2 linked regions of the Bombyx mori genome follow. The protein of the gene in region 1 purifies or fractionates together with the protein of each later gene. This does not show direct contact. Links are inferred from orthologs where the notes say so. Each region holds a gene or a part of one and is shown in the gene's direction. Other genes may lie near its edges.

What was found. The genes of interacting proteins can lie anywhere in the genome.
Region 2: the proteins of peptidyl-prolyl cis-trans isomerase H (region 1) and squamous cell carcinoma antigen recognized by T-cells 3 purify together in Homo sapiens (affinity purification with mass spectrometry; 3 studies listed by BioGRID and IntAct, with this or other methods). This does not show direct contact. The link is inferred for Bombyx mori from reciprocal best matches to the Homo sapiens genes PPIH and SART3.

The regions. Positions count from the first base shown.
Region 1 is NC_085116.1:6,472,076-6,475,095, forward strand, and holds peptidyl-prolyl cis-trans isomerase H, read left to right. Parts: upstream 1-1,398; 5' UTR 1,399-1,738; coding exon 1,739-1,822; intron 1,823-1,911; coding exon 1,912-2,088; intron 2,089-2,170; coding exon 2,171-2,464; 3' UTR 2,465-2,482; downstream 2,483-3,020. Other genes in the region: coenzyme Q-binding protein COQ10 homolog A, mitochondrial, read right to left, coding at 2,652-3,020. UniProt on the Homo sapiens protein: PPIase that catalyzes the cis-trans isomerization of proline imidic peptide bonds in oligopeptides and may therefore assist protein folding. Participates in pre-mRNA splicing.
Region 2 is NC_085122.1:6,475,722-6,479,793, reverse strand, and holds the start of squamous cell carcinoma antigen recognized by T-cells 3, read left to right. Parts: upstream 1-1,272; 5' UTR 1,273-1,386; coding exon 1,387-1,488; intron 1,489-3,104; coding exon 3,105-3,217; intron 3,218-3,438; coding exon 3,439-3,605; intron 3,606-4,072. UniProt on the Homo sapiens protein: U6 snRNP-binding protein that functions as a recycling factor of the splicing machinery. Promotes the initial reassembly of U4 and U6 snRNPs following their ejection from the spliceosome during its maturation.

The DNA.
Region 1 (3,020 bases):
TTAGGAATTGGACTTGGAAAAAATGAATGACTAAATATTAGAATCAGAAGGAGATTATTGTATGTCTGTATTTTAAACTATACTGATAACTATATAGATGTATATTTTGGAACTTTGCAATATTTATACTCTATTTATTATAATACTATATTTATATAATTAAACTTTATACTTTAAATTTCAAATATTTCATAATCAGACATAATTAAAATGATTACATAAAGTAACTAAGTTTTTTTGAAATCTAGATTAATTAACATAAAAAAGTAAACGAAATGAAACCGACCCAAAGTTTTAAGTTACACTGTGGTGGTTGTTGGCATTCACTTTGTAAGTATTCGTTCCGATGAAAACTTAATATCAGCCAAACATAAAACAATAAATAAATAAAACTGCAATAATATGTATACTTTTTTATCTATTCACTTGAATCGAAAATGAACATTCATCACATCCAATTATTACACTAGATTGCACAAAATTACTTTTATTAAGCACATACACCCCACCACATCTACAATCGTATAAATACACATTTTCATCACTGTCAAACACCATTTCAGACAGTCTTACTGTTTCATAAAGCAATAGATCACTATTTTCATGGCAACTTAATGTAGCATCATACTGTTTCCTGGTGCTAGGTTCTCTTAAAACTGACCAAGCTTTTTGTAATAGGCGAAACTTATTATCAGAATCATCAGTTTTATTTTTATCGGGATGTAATGTCAAAGCGAGTCGCTGATAACTTTTCTTCAATTCTTCAAGGCTTGCTGTTCTATCGCAATCTAGTATTTGATAATAATCAATAGGTAGGTCATTACTTTCCATATTTAATAAAAACTCGTAAAAGAGTTTTATTTATAAAAAATAGTTTACCTCTCTTTAATTCAATTGCTGTTCCCACTTCCCAGTCTTTGATTAGAATTTTTTTGTATTTTATTTATGGCCTGGCCCAGTCTTTGATTGATTGTTTGAAATTCATTCTTTATTGTATTATCTATAATTTGTTCATTGGACGGGCAAAAGGAGATAGACCATACAAATTTCAATACTCTTGTCACAAAACTGTAACCTTTAAATAAATATAAATATAATATATATAAATTTAAATGTATGTTAGGTAAGGGGAATAATGGAATTAAATTAATTGCTCATGGGATAAAATTTAAGGAAGTGAATTAAGAAAGACATCACCGTAGGTATTTGTTAGATAATAAATAAGGTTCCATTAAAACTTATAAGATAGGTATGGCGTTCAAATCTGAAGAAACGCACAATTTACGAAATACAATAATTTACACGACTTTGTCCTTCCCCGAAAAAAAGTCCCGCCCAATATACAATTGTTGACGAATAATACCATAGTCGTCTGTGATCACGAATACTTTATGTAGTTATTCTAAGCGTTAGAAATAATTGAAATTAAACGGTTAGGATAGTTTTATTATTATCTACGATTCGCCGAAATAGAAGAAACTGCTATAATCTTAAAATGTAACAAATTCGCTAAACGTGAAGTTTTGTCCTTTGAAGTCACCAGAAATTCCGTTTTTAGATCTGGACAAATAGGCTTGTAAGCTACCTAATGTCAAGGAAAGGATGTCAAAAGTATAACCTCAAAATTTGACAGCCGGGTAACAATAAACATCAAACAAACTAAAACTTATAGAAGTTTTAAATTGTTAACACAAATGTAATGTTGTTTTAGTAAAAATTTCAATATTAACACATTGAAATGCCTACTTGGAACCAAATACAGTCACAACTTAGGAATCCTAACAATCCAGTAGTGTTTTTCGACATTACTGTAGGAACAACGGTAAATACCTCCCCGAACTTATTGTTTTTTATTAGATTTAAAAGAACACACAAAAATTTATGTTTATAAAATATTTATGTTTATTTTAGGAAATAGGTCGTATGATATTCGAGTTATTCGCCGACGTAGTACCAAAAACTAGTGAGAACTTCAGAGAATTTTGTACCGGTGAATACAGGCGGGATGGTGTGCCCTTAGGTTACAAAGGAGCTACTTTTCACAGAGTAATAAAAGATTTTATGATTCAGGGTGGCGATTTCGTAAATGTACGTATTAAGTTTTGTTTATGATAAAACGATGCCTAACTGAACATGATGGAAGTTTATTAATATTTACTATTCATTTTAGGGAGACGGTACAGGCGTTATGAGCATATATGGTGGAAGCACTTTTGCAGATGAAAACTTTGGTTTGAAACATGACTCTCCAGGGTTATTGTCCATGGCAAATAGTGGTAAAGACACGAATGGCTGTCAGTTCTTTATCACATGTGCAAAATGTAATTTCTTAGACAATAAGCATGTAGTATTTGGTAGAGTTATAGATGGATTACTTGTCATGAGGAAAATAGAAAATGTACCAACAGGACCAAATAATAAACCTAAAATACCAGTAACAATATCTCAATGTGGACAAATGTAAATAAAACTTCACTTTAAATTTTATCTTTTTATTATCATTAAATCACAATGGCTCTGCCTCACATTTCTAACAGACTAATAGATAAAATATAATATTCACAAATTTTTACATAAAGTAATCACAATAAATACTCAATAATTATGTACACTGAATTGAACTAATTTTTTTGGTTTGCAATTAGTAAGCGTCAAGTTTTCAAAGTGTGATTGTTTATTAGTAACTTTCTAGGCTGCATTGTTGCCGGCCCATTGCGCCTTCCGACTTCTTTAATGAAAGCACCTTCCATTTGTCGAGCAACTTGGTCAAAAAACAAATTAGATAAATGTGAATGTATAGCTGATCTAAATTCGAATGTTATCTGGAAGTCCACAACACACGACTGCTGTTCTCTTTTTAGACCAGGACTGAATCTCCAAAGGGTCAACATATGGTGGAAGAGTCTTCCATCAGAACACTCTGCTTTTACCAAATGTGGTTTGACTAGCGTAACATTTGAAGTGTAGCTTTCATTGATAGGAGGAAAGCCAATGATCAAGTCCGCCTTCAGGTTTCCTGG
Region 2 (4,072 bases), on another chromosome or scaffold:
ATAAGTAACGGTCTTTTGGGCTCTTCAAGCACCGGGCATCGTCCTCGTCTTGGTTCATGGCAGACCACTGAGTATCCCCCCGGATCATCACAATGGGTTGCAATTTCGGTCCAGTGGTAAATTCTGCGAAGCAAGCACTGCTTCTACTAGGGCTGGCGTTGACAAATTCTCTCAGGCTGAGCCCGTGAGCTTACCAACCAGTCCATGCGAAGCTAAATATAGGCCCGCATTTTTTTTTTACCTGTGCTGATAAACTTGAGAGGCTATTTCAGCTTCGCCCTAACATGTAGGTGAGCTCATGGGGCTCAAACCTGACGACGTTGCTAACATGGATCCTAGCAAGAGCCGTGCTTCGCAGAATCTACCACTGGATCTGAAACGCGGCCCACTGAGAAGATCCGGCGAGAAACTCAGTGGGCTGTGTCTGTGGGTTAATTTACTCGCCGAGCCCTTCGTCGCAAACTACGGGTTTGGCGAGGACGGTGACCGGTGCTTGAGGTACCTAAAAGCATCGTTAGTGGATGGGGAGGATCCGTAATGGTGTGTTTTGGGCGACGTCGACTGCTTTCCATTCGGTTCGCAGGATCGGGAATGGACTTTAGCCCCGTAGGCCACCAACCCGGTATATATATCTTATCTATGCCACTAGCAAATAGGTAGGGAAAAAAAAAGAAGATCCAAGTAGCTGTGACTCATTACCACCTGCGATAATTATAAGGTGAGACGCCTTCTACCACATTTACAGGCAACAGTATAGCCAAGGTAAGCATTGGAGTTTTGAGATTTTATTAATTTAGAGATTCTTTAGATCAGATTCTTCAGATAAACCTCAGGTCTGACCATTGGTGGTTTGTTCACTGTCTAATATTTCTAAAAGTCCACAAATATTGGAAAAAGGAACAAAATCTCCCAAATATTTTCTAAAAAGTTAATCCAATTTTCAATAATTTTCACTATTTTTCTGTAAGTATGTTTAAGTTCACAATTTGTTAATTAACCCGTTTTTCTTAAATTGCATGATAAGTAAATTCGATAGCTTCTCGGGATCTTCCAAAAAGTCTACGTAAAAAATCATCATTTCACTGAGACTATATTTTATCGCATATCATGTCGTTTCATAATTTTATCACAATTGAGTAATGTCTCAAATTAATCAACTTAATTTCATTTCGTTCCTTTTAGTTTTTATAAAACAGAAAATACAAAAATTAGGTTGTATGGTCGGATTTCGTTGCCTTTCCAGTTAGAAAAATGGAACCACTACTTTATTTTGACAATTGACAAATACCTCCACAATCACATTCTGCCAATCGCCATTATTCGTTCGTTTGTGAATTTAACAAATACAAAACTACACAGTTATTGATTACTCTCGTGTGATAAACAATGGCGATAGTAGAAGACGAAATTCAGAACGGTTCTGAAGGGGAAAATGAAATTGAAGTTGTGGTTGAAGAAGATGATGGCGACCAGGATCCAGATTCTGATGTAAGCTATTCTGATTTTAATTTACAAAATGATACTTTGTCTGTATTTCAAGTTAATTAGCCGGTTTTCATTTTAATACATGTGATTCTACGTTTTACCAAAGCAAATTATAATTTGTAATTATTAACTCCATTTAAAAATACAAATTGAACCTAATTTTGAAATCATAATACAATGTATCATAATAGAATGTAAACATGTTTTGTATATTTGCTTTCTTTAGTATGTAGCTGTACAAACTTAACTATAAAAATATCTACCTTATTGTGACACCAATAGCATATGTAAAGGGAAGTTTAAACAAATAAAAAAAATGAAATTTTGGTTCATTGTTTTTTTTGTTTATATTTTTTTAGTTTTTTATTACACAGATAGGTGGACGAGCTCACTGCCCACCTAGTGTTAAGTGGTTACTGGAGCCCATAGATATCTACAACGTAAATGCGCCACCCACCTTGAGATATAAGTACTAAGGTCTCAGTTTAGTTCCAATGAATTGGAATGAAAACGTAAACTCTGCTAATAATTGTAGGCACAAATGTCTAGATGTAAATTAAGTTTTGGGTCAATTTAAAGATAATATAATATAAAAGTATTTTCTTCATTTTTCAAAGGTCATAGATATAACTAAAACTTCTTTTATGATTTAATCGAGCAATTTAATGTCTAAAGCTTAAACTCCACTGGCATTTTGCAAATTTCACTTTCAGCAACAGGATGGACTCAACATATGCACTGTTAATCCCTGTGTTTCTAAGATATTTGTCTTATTCCTATGCTTCAAATACAATTCAGTTACATTTTTCATGGACACACAAGATAAAATTTATCAATAAATAAAATGAGAAACGTATAACTATTAAACAATGTTAAAATATATATAGTAAAATAATTTTCTGTGCTTATAATATTGTTATTATAACCCCACAGTTGCTGTCAAGAGGGTTGGATGTCCAAAATAAAGTTTTAATATAATCTAGCCAGTTGCTTTACAGTCTTGAAAAAAACGTTTTATTGTTATAAAATTTGTAGTTAGCATACAGGGTTGGGATGACACGGTTGCCTTGAATGAAAACACAACCCTTACTAATTAAAAATAAAAACATAAGATTTTAACAAAATAAGGAAATGAGAAGGTATTCAAAGATAATATATTGTTTGTATATGGTCCTCAAGTAATTGATCTTTTTTCTCAAGCAGTGTCCGACTTAATCTCATTAATTGAGTTTGAAAACATTTCCCGGCAATGTTTTTTATTTGTGATCATAATTCCATCAAAATTGACCAGCATTTATTGTTGAAGCCACATATTAATAAATAGCAAGAATTTCGTTGTGCACCTAATACATAAGTTTCACAAAATTATAAAGTTTATTACTATCTTCTTAAATGTAATTTACTGAGCTCATTAAATTATAATTCAAGGAAGTGAATAATTGAGAATATGGTCATGTGTATAAATTATTGAAACATAATCGAGTGATACAAGAAAAACTATCTTAGTAACTAGTTATTTCAAACCTCCAAGGAGTGTGAATATTTATTATAACTTGTGCAATATCCAAGCAAAGTAAAAATTGAAAATGTTTACAATATTCAGAAATAATAAATTTTAGGATGAAATATTGGAGATGGGAGATTGGCAGAGGAAAGTGGCCGAATATGAACACAAAATCACATTACATCCTTTTAATTATGATGATCACATTGAATTGATCCAGACTTTGTGGTAATTATTATATTGAATTTCTCAAATAAGTTTTTTTTTTAATAATTTGTTCCTAAAATGTTTTGATCAGAAATTTTCCTTTAATCAAATTTAATATTACTTCATTTAGAGCGGGGAATCCCAAAGTGTTTCAAATCTTGTTTTTTTATTAAACATGTGAGTTAGAATTTTATAATTTATAGATATGTATTTGCCAAAAACAAAGCATATCAAATTTTCAGGCGTCTATCGGAACTGGGGCAATGGCGAACGGCGTTTGAAAGATTATGGGAGATGTCAGTTATAAAAGTTGATCATTGGCTCTTGTGGCTCCGAACAGAAGAGAATATTTCACAGTCTGAAGAACTAATTGCCAATTTATTCTATAAGGCAACCTGTGATTGCTACTGTGAGTACATTTAACTTCAGAACATTTAAATTCTAACTGCTTTAAAAACGAAATATTTCGGTGTTTTAGTTATTCTAGCTATTCAAGTACTTTTTCTACTTAACCAGACAAAGCTTACCTTACTGTGAGTGGTAACAATTGCTCATGGAAATCACCAATGCTGGGGCAGTGGCCTGGATCTGAATACTTACTTCACTGGTGGTAGGGTTCTGTGTAGAAGCCCGCCCGGGTTGGTACCACCGTCCTGTCTATTTCTGCCGCAAAACAGTAATACTGTGTTCCGGTCTGAAGGACAGGATAGCCGGTGTAACATACATAAGGCTGCCCATCCAGGCCAGGATAGGCAGCGCATCTGAGTCACTGATGTAGTTTGGATGTCTATGGGCGACGGTTATCATTTCCCATCAGATGAGCCGTAAGATCGTCCGCCTATCGAAAGTAATAAAAAAAAAAAAAAAAATCCTACT